Linked DNA regions of Anolis sagrei. The protein of the gene in region 2 purifies or fractionates together with the protein of the main gene of each other region. This does not show direct contact. Links are inferred from orthologs where the notes say so. Each region holds a gene or a part of one and is shown on either strand. Other genes may lie near its edges.

Region 1 (8,022 bases), about 92 Mb from region 2:
CAGGTTGAGAAACACTGGTCTATGCCCTTCTGCAATCCAGACAAATGTCCAAGTCCTTTTGCTATGGGATTGTCGCCTTTTTTATGGTAGCAATGAAAAGAGTTCTGCAGATATTGCGGACTGCCAAAAAGGCAAATAACACAAATCAGGACTGAATTCTCCCTAAAAGCCAAATGGAGCAGTCAGCCCTCCACATTTTCAGGGTTGATTTTTACCGATTTAATGAAACTATTCTCTTTGGATTAAGCAGAAATCTTTTATGAACCTTAAGGAAGATGGGAGCAAACATCAACGACTGGGTTTATGAATTAGAGGAGTGTTCTTAAAAGTAGAAGTGTGGATATACAGTGCTATCTAAAGGGAATAGGATAACAAGGAGTGAAAATCAACAGACAAAGAGTGCAAGATTCAATAGTTGTCTATCTAGTATGTTTTTATTATTTGAAGCGTTTTATGTTAGGATGATCGTCTTGGATCTAGTTTATTAGATGTAGCAGTTTTAATTTTATATACAGTGGAACCTCAACTTAAGAGTGTCCCAACTTAAGAGTGTTTTAAGTTAAGAGCTATTCCCCTGGCCTGGTTTTGCTTTGACATAAGAGCAGCATTTTGAGTTAAGAGCTAGTGCCAGAGGGGGCGCTAGCACCAGAGTACAGGGCTTTACAGCCGCCGCCGCAAACTAGGCTCCTGCGGGAGCAAACCTTGCCAGCACGTCCCTGACGTCATGAGGCTGCGCCTCTCGCCCCGCCCCTTTCTCAGCCTCTTTCTCCGTGCCAGAGTGGTTTCTCTTTTGCTAGGGCAGCATTGCCAGCGTACTCTCTCAGTTGGCAGAATTCAACTGAGAGAGTATGCTGGCAATGCTGCCCTAGCAAAGGAAAAACCACTCTGGCACGGAGAAAGAGGCTGAGAAAGAGGTGGAGAGAGAGGCGCAGTCTCATGACATCAGGGACATGCTGGCAAGGTTTGCTCCCGCAGGAGCCTAGTTTGCGACGGGTCTTAGGGCTTCAAGGGAGCAGCCCTCCTGACTTGTGCTCTTGTCCACTTTGGGAGATTGCTGTCTGCTTTGCTCTTGTCCGCTTTGAGGAACTTTTGAGTCAGTTGATTTTGTGTGGTTTTTATTCCCGTTTTGTTTGTCTTCATGAAGAGAGAGAGGGAGACAGAGGGAGGGAAGCTGGAAGGAGTACAGAATGAAGAAAAGGATGCTTCTACCTATTATTTATTTATTTATTTATGACATTGCTACCCCACCTTTCTCATCCTGGAGGGAAATCAAGGCAGTTTTACATACAGGCAACAATTCGATGTCTTAATATGCAACGTACACTTAAATAAATGTTGAAATAGAATTTAAAAGTATATTAAAACAATGAAAACATTTAAAAACAATAAATTCAGAGTATTGTCGAAGGCTTTCATGGCTGGAATCACTGGGTTGTTGTAGGTTTTTTCGGGCTGTATGGCCATGTTCTAGAGGCATTCTCTCCTGACGTTTCGCCTGCATCTATGGCAAGCATCCTCAGAGGTAGTGAGGTCTGTTGGAACTAGGAAAAAGGCTTTATATCTGTGGAATGACCAGGGTGAGACAAAGGACTCTTGTCTGCTGGAGATGCAAGAGCCTGCATCAAGAGGAGCCTAGTGTCTAGGTCCAGGGAAGTCATGCTCCCCATGCTCTATTCCGCTCTGGTTAGACCACACCTGGAATGTTGTGTCCAATCGTGGGCACCACAATTCAAGAGAGATATTGACAAGCTGGAATGTGTCCAGAGGAGGGCGACTAAAATGATAAAAGGTCTGGCGAACAAGCCCTATGAGGAGCGGCTTAAGGAGCTGGGCATGTTTAGCCTGAAGAAGAGAAGGCTGAGAGGAGACAGGATGAGGGCTATGTATAAATATGTGAGAGGAAGTCTTAGGTAGGAAGGAGCAACCTTCCTTTCTGCTTCCCTGAAGACTAGGACGCAAGGGAACAATGGCTTCAAACTACAAGAAAGGAGATTCCATCTGAACATGAGGAAGAACTTCCTGACTGTGAGAGCCGTTCAGCAGTGGAACTCTCTGCCCTGGAGTGTGGTGAAGGCTCCTTCTTTGGAAGCTTTTAAACAGGGGCTGGATGTCCATCTGTCAGGAGTGATTTGAATGCAATATTCCTGCTTCTTGGCAGAATGGGGTTGGACTGGATGGCCCATGAGGTCTCTTCCAACTCTATGATTCTAATGTTACTGATTTGCTTTATGAGTTTACTTATTGTTGTATTTGTTATGCTGTTGTTTTATTGATGTGTTGGCCTTGGCTTCTCGTAAGCTGCACCGAGTCCTTCGGGAAATGTTAGCGGGGTATAAATAAAGTGAATAATAATAATAATAAAAAAACAATCTTGCTCTCTCCTCCCTATGACTTCCCCTCACATCTTGATCGATGGTCCTCATCATGAATTCCTCTCAGCCTTCTTTTTTGAAGGCTAAACATGCCCAGCTCTTTAAGCCGCTCCTCATAGGGTTTGTTCTCCAGATCCTTGATCATTTGAGTCGCCTTTCTCTGGACACATATATAAAGAAGTGGAATAATCACAGAATATTTCAAACCTACAGCTGTTCGATAGTCTCAGGCATGGGCCAACTTGGGCCTTCCCTCCAGGCGTTTTGGACTTCAACTCCCACAATTCCTAACAGACAACCGGCTGTTAGGGATTGTGGGAGTTGAAGTCCAAAACGCCTGGAGGGAAGGCCCAAGTTGGCCCATGCCTGCTCTCCTTCTAAGGCAGGCATGGGCCTACTTGGGAGAAGTAGGCCTCAGTTTGGGGCCTACCTGCTGCCGGCCGGCCATCACCTCCTCGGCCAGGGTTTCCACCTCCGCCAAGTAGCCCACCACGAAGGCAGGGTCCACGGCGCCCATCGCGTCCGGAACGGGAACGGGAAGAAATCGGAGGCGAGGCCTAGTCGGCGCAGGCGTCACGCAAGCCGAGGGCGGGAGGTTGCCACGGCAACGGAGTAGGCCCGAAGCTGGTAATTGGCTGGGAAGGGGGTTGCCACGGCAACTGACTAAGCCCCACCCCCACTTCTCTTGAAAGCCTCAAGTCTCGCTAGGCCCCGCCTTCAAGGACTCACTAGGAAGGGGGGTTGCCACGGCAACAGAGTAGGCCCGAGCTTGGGAATTGGCTGGGCGAGCGGTTGCCACGGCAACTGACTAAGTCCCGCCTTCTCTTCAAGCCTTCAGGCCTTACTAGGCCTCGCCTTCTTTTGAAGCCTTCAGATCTCACTAGGGTGGGAGGTTGCCACGGCAACTAGCTAGGCCCCGCCTCCTCTGAATCCTTCAGGCTTTGGGTAAATGGTTCCTTCCATCTTTGTGCATAGAGTATTCTTGCTTCAGTTGTTATATATTACATTTACATTCTGTTTCATTGCATTTTAATCTTGGTACTGTGTATTGTGATCTGTATGTATTTTATGATAATATTTTCTAATATAATACAAATAAAATAATCATAAAGTATTGTAATAATGCGATTATCGATATAAATAAAAATGTAATGTTCTAGGTTCTTGTGGGTTTTTTCGGGGTATATGGCCATGTTCTGGAGGCAATATTTCTCCTGACGTTTCGCCTGCATCTGTGGCAAGCATCCTCAGAGGTAGTGAGGTCTGTTGGAAGTAGGAAAATGGGTTTATATATCTGTGGAATGACCAGGGTGAGACAAAGGACTCTTGTCTGCTGGAGCTAGCTGTGAATGTTTCAGCTGAACCCTTCCACCTAGGCTTTATGGACTCCCAAAAATCCCAAAAATCCACAAGGACTCCACCCCACTCAGACCCATCGTGAGTGCCATTGGATCCCCCACATACGACCTAGCAAAATTTCTTGCTGCACAGTTACAAAGCTATATTGGGCTCACCACACACTACATCAAGGACTCAGCCCACTTCATAGAAAAAATCAGCAATCTCAAGCTAAATACAAACGACAAACTGATCAGCTTCGATGTGGTATCTCTATTCACCATGGTCCCAGTCGCAGACACCATGGCACTCATCAACCAGAGGTTCCCAGAAGACATCACGGCTCTGTTTCACCATTGCCTCACCACCAGTTACTTTCAGTGGGACAATAAATTCTACGAACAGAAAGATGGAGTAGCTATGGGGAGCCCTCTCAGCCCGGTCATAGCTAACTTCTACATGGAACACTTTGAAAAACAAGCCCTGGAGACAGCAACCAAAAAGCCCACGATATGGTTCAGATATGTGGATGACACCTTCACCATTTGGAGCCATGGAGATGAAGAACTCAACAGGTTCCTGGACCATCTTAACAGCATCCACCCAAAAATCCAGTTCACCATGGAAAAAAAATGAAGGAAGACTGCCTTTTCTAGATGTCCTAGTCATCCGCAAACCAGATCAACAATTGGGTCACACCGTCTACAGAAAACCCACACACACGGATAGATATCTACACAAAAACTCCAGCCATCACCCAAGTCAAAAAAGAAGCACCATTAAAGCCTTGGCAGACCGTGCAAAAAGAATCTGCGAAGCCCACCTTCTCCAAGATGAACTGAACCACCTCAACTGGGTTCTCCAGGCCAATGGAGACTCCACCTTAGACATCGGAAGAGCTGCAAGACCAAGAACAAGCCACGAGAGTAAAGATGAAGACCCACCCAGAGGAAAAGTGTTCCTGCTATACATCAAGGGAACCACTGACCGCATAGGGAAACTGATGAGGAAGCACAACATACAAACTATCTACAGACCCACCAAGAAAATCCAACAAATGCTCCGTTCAGCAAAGGACAAGAGGGATCCTCTCACCTCTGCAGGAGTCTACCGTATACCATGCAGCTGTGGACAAGTCTACAGAGGGACCACCCAATGCAGCACCCAAACACGGATCAAGGAACATGAAAGGCACTGCAAACTACTCCAACCAGAGAAATCAGCCATAGCAGAGCACCTGATGAACCAACCTGGACACAGCATTTTATTTGAGAACACAGAAATGCTGGACCACTCTCACAACCACCATGTCAGACTACACAGAGAAGCCATTGAAATACACAAGCATGTGGACAATTTCAACAGAAAGGAGGAAACCGTGAAGATGAACAAAATCTGGCTACCATTATTAAAAAAACTCTAAAATTACAGCAGCAAAACAACAGAGGGGAAACAAACAGGCACATGAAATCACTCTCAACAAAGGATTCCCCCCAGGCGCTTCCAAGCCATTGAATGCTAATCAAGGTGATCAGCTGAAACATTCACAGCTAGCCCCAGCAAACAAAAGTCCTTTGTCCCACCCTGGTCATTCCACAGATATATAAACCCATTTTTCCCAGTTCCAACAGACCTCATTACCTCTGAGGATGCTTGCCATAGATGCAAGTGAAACGTCAGGAGAAAAATTTCCTCCAGAACATGGCCATATAGCCCGGAAAAACCTACAACAACCCTTCCAATATTTTCTGATGGTCAAGGGATTCCTGTATGCCAAGTGTGGTTCAATTCCATCGTTGGTGGAGTCCAGAATGCTCTTTGATTATAGGTGACCTATAAATCCCAGCAATTACAACTCTCAAATGACAAAATCATATTTTTTGAGTGATAGTCACTCCTTGTGTTGTTGGGGCAATTGTTTCACTGTTTGTACCATGGACTCTGTTTTGAACTTTGCCTAAAGGATTGTGCCTCTTGTTTTTACCTGAAGATCTTTGGAACTATATTCTGCATTTAACCAAACTCTTTGGAACTTTGCAATGCTTATTCTTTATTTTGACTTGGACTTTTTCCTCAGCAAACTATAAAACTACAGCTTTTGTGTGGTGGTGTTTGGAAGCAAGGCAAAGCTTACTCTGAATTGCAACACTCTGTGCCCTGTGGACTTGGGTTTGGCCCGACCATTATGGACTTGCACACCTGGGAATCCCAAGGTCTACACCAATCAGAGAACAAGCCAGTCCAGCCCCGCCTCCTGGCCAATCAGGAGGGAGGAGGGAGGCAGCCAGCTTTGGCGCTCAGCCAATCCAAGGCAAGGAAGGGAAAATTCAAACCTTGACAGTGTTAATGCATGGATCCTTTTCTGTATAAAATGGTTGCACATTCCCATATGTTTATGCTTGTATATTTTGGCATCCTTTGCTGTACATTGCATCCCTTCTGCAGATTGTATATTAAAGCCTCTCCTGATCTTCAGCACTGGTGAGCCATATTTCATCGGGAACTTTGGCAATTAGCTGAGCTCACCGGGCATGGACTCTCAGTGTCCGTGATCCTTAGCTCTCCAAATTTCAACTTCAAAAGTAAGTTTCAAATTCTTTGTCCTGGCCATCGCCCATTGCTCCAGCTGAATCTGTATTATGAATCCATTTAACCATACAGTCTTTCACTTCTTCTTCCTCAATTTTGTATTTTAACAACAATTTATACATCCCCTGTACAGCTTTAGCAGATTTATCAGCCAAGAAAGGTGTTTGTTCTTTAGGTTAGATATGCTGGGGAAACAGGGCTGCCTTACCATCTGCTATCAGTGGTTGAAAATGAATCTCTCCCTAACATATGGAGCGCCAGGCTGTGTTCTGCAATATGATATGTGGCACTTTCCATGTTTGTGCGCATGTGTTTGTGATCGTGTATTAACTGGAGGGAAGATGCCTCTGCTCCCATCCTAAAATGTATGGTTTCTAAAGATCCCAGGATGAGAACTCTAATAATAATAATAATAATAATACCTTCCCTCAATAACTCCCCTCAATTGACTTCCCTCAATGTTGGTTCTTGACTGCCTTTCACATAATCTGCCAGTGCGTGTTTCTCTTCTGAAACAAACAGTAGAAGAAGAGAAACACGCCCTGGCAGATTATATGAAAGGCAGTCAAGAACCAACATTGAGGGAAGTCAATAGAGTAAACTGCTTAAAGTGCAAAAGACAAAGAGGGAATACTGTAAAAACACAATCCAGAGCAGAAGAGAAAACTGGTAAAAGAAGGCTCTCCATGGACAGTTCCTGGGAAAAATTGAGAGCCAAATTGACAAAGAAAAAACATGGCTGTGGCTCACAAATAGAACTCTGAAAAAGGAGACAAAGGAGGGCCTGATTCTGGCAGCCCAAGAACAAGCCATTAGAACCAATGCCATCAAAGCCAGAATTGAAAAGAGGTCTCCCCATTGGATCCTACGGACCACTTGAGCTTCCTGATTGGTCCAGAGGCGCCGGAGGTGGGAGAGCCGCCTCCCAGCTGTTCGCCCATTGGCCAGTCACGTTGGGGAACAATAGGGAAGCCGGGGCGGGGAGTTTGAACTCTGCAACTTTGAATTTGCTATAAATATGACTGTATTGGTGTACTCCCCTCATGCTTAGCTTTGGCGAATGATTGCAGCTTTGCATCTGTTCCAGCTGAATCGCATTAAACCTCGATGGCTTTTCTTCAACTGGTGAGACTTTTCATTGGGAAATCAGGGAAAAATATGGGATGCTTCTCTGTCTCGCCAGGGAAAAAGAACTCTTTGATGAGTCTAATTGGTCTCTGCCTCCTGGCAAAGACCCCTAAATTTTAGCTCTATAACAACCTCACCCAGCGTCTTCATGTAGATATCGAAAAGCATGGGGGATAGAATAGAAACTTGTGAGACCCCACAGGTCAATGGCCAGGGGTCCGAGCAGGAGCTCCCCAGCAATTCTTCAGGAAGGAGCAGAGCCCTTACAGAGCAATGGCCCCAAGATCCATTTCGGAGAGCTGACCTAGAAGGATATCATGGTTGATGGTATCAAAAGCCACTGAGATGTCCAAGAAAACCAACAAGGACACAGTCTCCTTGCCTAGCTCTCTGTGAAGGTCATCCACCTAGGTGACCAAAGCTATCTCATTATGTGACCAGGCCTAAAACCAGACTGTGAGAAATTAAGATAACTGGCTTAATCCAAGAATCCCTGGAGCTGAAAAGCCACCACTTGCTCCAGAACCTTGCCCAAAAAGGGGAGATTAAAAATAGACCGGTAGTTATAGCTCGATGGTATTAAATCCTGGTAATT
Region 2 (7,465 bases):
TATGTATGATGGCTCGAAGTTCTTCTTCTGCCATTTTTTGTTAATCCGCAAGAGCCCTATTACAATTTTTTAAAATAGAATTGAATGAGATACACTTTAAATATATTGCAAAACTGGCAGAACCTTTTTTTTAAATCATTAAGATATCTTATAAGAACAAAGCATGAAAAGGGTATTTAGTAAAGTTAGGAATCAATCAGGTCAAGAAACTGCAGCCCTTTGAATTATTTTGGACTTCACCTCCCACCAACCTTAACAACACAGCTAATGGTGAAGGATGCTTGAAGCCTCACTCAGCTGTATCTTGAAGATTACGCTTCACTCTACAAGAGATGGTGAGAAGGAAACCTCTTAAAATCAAATTTGAAATCTTCCAGTCCATGAACTTATACACTACACAATGTGTATCTGTACTATGAAATATATTGTGAAGAATTTCCTAGAATAGGGATTAGATCGTTTTAATAACAGATTATATTATCTGTGCCAAAACCTTTAGGTACCAAAAGGGAACTGCAAAAATCCTAAATGACAAAATATTATTGAATTATAATACAACAGAAAGTGGGACTCAACAAGATACTCTAAACGTGTTGCATTGCCATTTACCAGAATGTTTTAAAGGGCAACCCTAGTTTAATGAGAATTAAAAAGGACACCTTCTGATTAAGTATAGTTAAGAGCTTTACAGCTGGCCATTAAGCATATTATAGGAAGCAGTTCTGCTGAGGGGCAATAAAGTGCTCTGAAATACTCTGACTTTTAAAAGCCAGGATGTATACATAAACTTTCTATTAATTTATTTTTTTAATATTTTTTTTATTTTAGGACATACACAACATTTACAATTCCCACCACCATGAAGATTGTTTTCTTTTACATATTAATCCTTTTGGAGATTTTTTATTTTCTTATTCTCATCCCATTCAAGAAAGAAGTAAAGTTACAGCCAAGTAAGAGCAGGCAAAGAGGAAGCGAAGCAAAGAGCACATTGTAGTATTTGGAAGCTATCTGCTTTGTGGGGCCAGAAAAAGTCTCTAGCAAGTGGTCTTTAACGTGCAAAACAGGGGAAAGGGAGTTGAACAGGACATTAAAGGAATCTGGCAGCACCTGTAAGATACATTTCTAGTTTATAACTTTCTTTTTTGTGTAGACATTGACCCACAAAAACGGATGCTAAAATAAAAACTAATCTTAAAAAGTGTGGCTAGATTTCCCCCAACCCTTTCCCTCGCTTTTCTTCTTGTTATGCTACAACAGGCTAACATAACCCCTTCTTTAAAAATTATTTTAATTGTCAATTAACAATATCATACGAAAACTGACTGGCACAAGCTGGGGATCACAACCAGACACAGTGAAGACATCTCCCCTTGCGCTATGCTACTCTGCTGCTGAGTATGCATGCCCAGTGTGGAACACATCTCACCACACTAAAACAGTGGATGTGGCTCTTAATGAGACATGCCGCATTATCACAGGGTGTCTGCGCCCTACACCACTGGAAAAATTACACTGTCTAGCCGGTATCGCACCACCTGACATCCGCCGGGAAGTAGCAACCAATAGTGAAAGGACCAATCCTTTGTTTGGGTATCAGTCAGCATGTCAACGACTTAAATCAAGAAATAGTTTTCTAAGATCTACAGAGACACTCGCTGGAACATCTCAGCAAGTGAGAGTCCAAAAGTGGCAGGCTCCAACCCAGAACCTCAATCAATGGCAGATACCAAATGAGAGACTCCCCCCTGGGCACACAGAAAACTGGGCAACATGGAAAGCATTGAACAGACTGCGCTCTGGCACCACGAGATTCAGAGCCAACCTTAAGAAATGGGGCTACAAAGTGGAATCCACGGCATGCGAGTGTGGAGAAGAGCAAACCACTGACCACCTGCTGCAATGCAACCTGAGCCCCGCCACAAGCACAATGGAGGACCTCCTTGCGGTAACACCAGAGGCACTCCAAATGGCCAGATACTGGTCAAAGGACATTTAATCAACTACCAAGCTTGCAAACTTTCTGTTTTGTCTGCTTGTTTTGTTAAAAATGTAATACAAATGTCTGGTTGCTCCTGACACAATAAATAACATTTTAATTGTTTCCTTAAAGGAAGACCATTTATGTAGCTAGAAGGAGATTGAAAAAGTGTTCAAATCTACCAGAGACCATACAACATTGGTCCTCAACCTGTGGGTCCTCAGGTGTTTTGGCGTACAACTCCCAGAAATCCCAGTTTACCAGCTGTTAGGAGGCAAAAACATCTGGGACCCACAGGTTGAGAACCACTGCCATACAACATAGATAAAAAGTACTCTGCACATGCTCAAGGGCAATTACTCTTTAACTATAAAAAGTATACACCCTTAACCGCTTATAACAGAGGGGGAGGGTGCATTAAAATGTGTACAGTCCCCAAGTTACAAACAAGATAGGTTCTGCAGGTTTGTTCTTAAGTTGAATTTGTATGTAAGTCAGAACAGGTACATTTTATTAAGTGCAACTCCAGAGATATATATATCTATCTACCTATCTTTGGTTAGCATAGGGAAAGGTTGACACGCCCATGGTGTTTCTTTTGCTGTCTGTTCCCCTGTTCAGAAGATTTCACAGCACTTTCTGTCCCTGTGAGAATTGGATTGTGAAAAATATGACTTGTTGTGGAAACAAGGACTGGTGATAAAGCTTCAGGGGAGACACGTTTTCCCCATGCTAACTCTTCCAGGAGTGAATTTCCCTTCCTAGGAGTAGATTTCTCTCACTTCCTGTTGTCTCACCCCCATTCTTAACTAGGAGTCGTCTATAAGTCAGATGTTTGTAACTCGGGGACTGCCAGTACATCCTTAACAAGATCAAAGATTCCAATGTGGTGCACAATTAGTAGTGAAACCTCAAATGAAATGTGCAACTCTATGCTTTGACCATGGGGTCATTGCATGGCTGCGCTCGCACATGAATTTGAACTCCTTCTATGGTTTCAGCATTGGAGTATGACTCTGAGACCGGGGTTCGTATTCCCACTCAGCCATAGAAACCCTCTGGGTAACCTTGGGCAAGTCATGCTCTCTCAGCCTCAGAAGACCAAGGCAAATAACTTCTGAACAAACCTTCCTGTACAAACCCAGTGAATGGTTCTCCATAGGTCTGAAACGAATTGGGAGGCACACAAGGAACAAGTAAACGTACTCTAAAATGGAATCTATAACTTTAGCTAATTAGTATAACATTTCATCTTCAATATAAACATATATATTTAACATCCAAATAATCTCCATAAAGGTAAAGGTTTCCGTTATAGTCTATAATCTCCATAGCTATTATTAGCTGTTAAAAGTGTGTACATTGGGGGGGGGGGGGGACTATACATCCCAGGTGCTTCTACACTATATAATTAATGCAGTTTGATACCTCTGTAACTGCCCTGGCTCAATGCTATGGAAACCTGGGAGTTGTAGTTTCACAAGGCCTTTAGCCTTCCCTGCAAAAATGAATCCTATGAGTTGTAGTTTCGCAAAGCCTTTGGCCTTCCCTGCTAAATGAATCCTGGGAGTTATAGTTTCACAAGGCCTTTAGCCTTCCCTGCCAAAGGAATCCTATGAGTTATAGTTTCACAAGGCCTTTGGCCTTCCCTGCTAAATGAATCCTATGAGTTATAGTTTCACAAGGCCTTTAGCCTTCCCTGTCAAAGGAATCCTGGGAGTTATAGTTGCACAAGGCCTTTGGTATTCCCTGCTAAATGAATCCTGGGAGTTATAGTTTCACAAGGCCTTTAGCCTTCCCTGCCAAAGGAATCCTAGGAGTTATAGTTGCACAAGGCCTTTGGCTTTCCCTGCTAAATGAATCCTGGGAGTTATAGTTTCACAAGGCCTTTGGCCGTCCCTGCCAAATGAATCCTAGGAATTGTAGTTTCACAAGGCCTTTAGACTTCCCTGTCAAAGGAATCATAGGAGTTGTAGTTTCACAAGGCCTTTAGCATTCCCTGCCAAAGAAATCCTGGGAATTGTAGTTTCACAAGGCCTTAGGCCTTTCCTGTCAATGGAATCCTGAGAGTTGTAGTTTCACAGGGTCTTTATTTTTCCCTCCAAACTACAACTCCCAGGCTCCCATAGCATTTCAGAGAAGGGAGACTCCCCTTGCACCAGCCTTGGAAGTGAAAGAAGGCTGCAACTCCTTTCCAGGCTTCACTTGGGAGCCTCTCTGAACCCTAGAAACGAAAGACAAAGAGTGAATCCCTCCTAAACTACTATGCCTTAGACCTGGGCTGTCCCTCCTCCCTGGCGCCCTCCCGCCTGTGACCCCAACCTGCAGCAAGACTCCCTCCTCTTACCTCCGCCTTCCCTCTTTCCAAAGAGACCGGTCTACCAGCACGGCCTCATGACTATTCTCAGGCCACGCCCCTTTGGGAGAAGCCACGCCCCTTTCCCAAACAACGCAGGCGCAGTGAGGGGTTAGAGGTCTTTCCCGGCAGCGATGGCGGAAGAGAGGACCCGCAGCGGCTCCAAGGCCAGGAGGCAGCGCCGGCGCCCGGGTAAACGCAGCTGTTTGTATCTATCCCCCCCCCTTTTCATCACATGGACTGTTCCTTCTCCCTTCCTCAATATGTGGAGGCGAAACCAATCCTATCTTCCAAGGGGGTGGCTTTCTAGGGATGGGAGATGCTCTATAGCTGTGATTATTCCTATACTACTGTAGGAATAATATAGTTGAACTGCCAGGGCTCAGTGCTATGGAATCGTGGGAGTTGTAGTTTTATAAGGGCAAGTTTCTCCCTAAGCAAACAGCGGGTTCCCACTCTGTTCCTACAAAAGCTTGAATTGATCATGTGATTTCATGTGGTTTGTCATCTCCCTGTATTTTTGGTTGTTCCTCTTAGGTAATAAACAGCCCAGTGTCCTGACAAATGAAGATGCTGCACAAAGGTATCCTGTCTCTCAGAATAACTGTTTGGTTGCATTATGTGTTTATATCTATTTTGTAAATCCTTCAAAAGGTTTATGAATCAACTAGCTGTCCCCTGCCACACATTGCTGTGGCCAAATCTGTGTATTTGTGTTTTGTGTGTGTGTATTTGGGTATCTATATATATGTGTGTGTGGTTTTGCGCATGCATTGTAATGTATTTCTTTTTATTTGAGGGCTTTTAGATGTTTCTCATGACTTTCTGATATTCCCTTCTCTTTGAGACACATATTCTGCCCTGTTTAACCTATTAAAGACTGGCAGGTCTTTAGTCCAGCTGGCACAGTTTGAAATGAAAAGTGGGTGCCATTGTGTTCTTTGCTTCAGGCATCAAATGTTTTGCGCTGGATCTGTTCGTACCCACTTGTTTCTTAAGCAACTTCATATGAATTGCCAAAATGTGGGTCACACCACTATTTTTTCCCCTTGTAGGAAAGCAGCACTTGAAGCTGCTATTCGAAAGAAGATTGCGCATGAGCGAAAAGCCTTGAAGGTGGTTGAACGCCTCTTAGAAGACGATATCACTGAAGAATTCCTCACAAATTGTGTATGTCGTCTTGTTGCAGATTTATATAAAATATTTAGTTTAAATGTGTCAAGGTCTCCTATAGCTTGTTATGCAGTTAATGGTTCCTTTCCAAAGATAGTTTATCAATCTTTGGAGAGGCACCATAGATGTGTGTTAGCTTGGCAGTCTATGGCCCCTTCTACACTGCCATATAAAATCCAGATTATCTGATTTGAACTGGATTATCTGGCAGTGTAGATTCATGTAATCCAGTTCAAAGCAGATAATGTGAATTATCTGGGAATCATATAACCCTCTCAATCACTGCTTCTTAAACTGGGGTCTCCAAACTAGGTCCCCATAGCTCAATGTGGGGGTCCTGAAAAAATTGGCAAATGTAAACATTTTCTGAATGTCACCTAGTTGCTGTTTTAGACATGTACATGAATCTGTTGTGCAGCATTTACAGCAGACTCTGCAAAAGGAAATGTTTGATTTTTATACCAGTTTTATCTACCCAGGGCTGTGTAAAACTGTATTGGGCCAAAAGGTGTCACAAGTGGAAAAGTTTAAGAAGTCCTCTTCTCAATGACCTTGGGCTGCTGTTGTCAGCATTTCCCACTATTGTCTAGGCTGGTTCGTGCTTCTAAAAGTTTAATTCACAGCATTTGGAGGACTGCAAGGTTTCCCATTTCCTATAGGACATATTCCAAAGGGAGACTCAGCGTGAGGTAGAGGCTTGAGCATTGACTAAAACAACTGTAGTCCAAGGTTTGTAAATTAGAGATGTGTGAAACAGGAGAAATCTGTTCTGTTTTTGTTTCCAATTTTGAGTCCGTCCACCCATTCTGTTTTCATGAAGATTCTTCCCAAAACAGAAATTGAACTTGTTTTGTCGAACCCAAATGACTCCCCTCCTAATCTTCCTTTCTACTGTTTTACACACCGCTTCTTTGTATCCCTGCTCATCCATGAAAACCCACATTTCAAGGCAAATCTGTTTATTTCTTTTCAGGGGAAGTTCATTACACCTTCTCACTATAAAGATGTTGTGGAAGAGCGGTTTATCGTCAAACTGTGTGGCTACCCCATCTGTCGAAATAGGCTGCAGAATGTAAGAGTCTGTGAGTGGTGTATGTGTTGGTTCTTTTTCTGTAATTTTTTGAAATTTAAAATGCATTTCTTCCTGAAAATTATCCAGTACTTGCTTTTTTCGCCCATTTTCATTATCTTCCTGTGTTACAAATTCAAAACTGATTTAAAATGTCTACAGGGTTGCTTTGTGAGTAAGGATGTGAGCCTGGATATCCGCAGTTTTGAATCTGATAGTATATGCCAGTGGTTCTCAACCTGTGGGTCCTCAGATGTTTTGGCCTACAACTCCCAGTAATCCCAGCCAGTTTACCAGCTGTTAGGATTTCTGGAAGTTGAAAGCCAAAACATCTGGGAACCCACAGGTTGAGAACCACTGGTATATACTATATTGGCCCCCGGCATGGGTTAAAACTATGTAGTGTTCTTGCCACCTCTTTGTCCTGCCTCTGCTTTCATCCAATGTGATCAAGGAGAGGAAATCAAGCTCTGCATAATTTAGTTCTCTCTCTAACCTGGAAAAATTGTGTTAAATCTTAACTGTGGTTTACTGAAATTAGCAAACATCAGATTTAGGATTAAGAAGATAGTTTCAACAAATCATTGCTCAGATTAAACATTGTAGGTTTTGTGCACTATGGCAAACTTTAGAAAATGAGATTAAGCTTTCCTTTCTCCTTGCAGCCAAGCTAGGAGGAGAGGGAGAGTTTGGCACCAAAGAAGCCAATATTCTGGCACATAATAATTAACAGTAATATATTGTTACAGGCATACTGGTCCATCGGCTCTCATCGTACATAATAACACACTGTAATGTTTTGCTACATGTTTGCTGGTCCATTGGCTCTCCTTATCCATAATAATACACTGTAATGTATTGTTTCTTGCAGACTGGCCCTTTGACT

The links.
Region 1: the proteins of RPAP2 (region 2) and PDRG1 purify together in Homo sapiens (affinity purification with mass spectrometry; 3 studies listed by BioGRID and IntAct, with this or other methods). This does not show direct contact. The link is inferred for Anolis sagrei from reciprocal best matches to the Homo sapiens genes RPAP2 and PDRG1.

What each region holds. Positions count from the first base shown.
Region 1 is NC_090024.1:242,559,355-242,567,376, forward strand, and holds the start of PDRG1 (p53 and DNA damage-regulated protein 1), read right to left. Parts: upstream 3,040-8,022; 5' UTR 2,890-3,039; coding exon 2,803-2,889; intron 1-2,802. UniProt on the Homo sapiens protein: May play a role in chaperone-mediated protein folding.
Region 2 is NC_090024.1:150,132,290-150,139,754, reverse strand, and holds the start of RPAP2 (putative RNA polymerase II subunit B1 CTD phosphatase RPAP2), read left to right. Parts: upstream 1-4,436; 5' UTR 4,437-4,471; coding exon 4,472-4,529; intron 4,530-4,874; coding exon 4,875-4,920; intron 4,921-5,392; coding exon 5,393-5,507; intron 5,508-6,483; coding exon 6,484-6,582; intron 6,583-7,465. Other genes in the region: GLMN (glomulin), read right to left, coding at 1-34.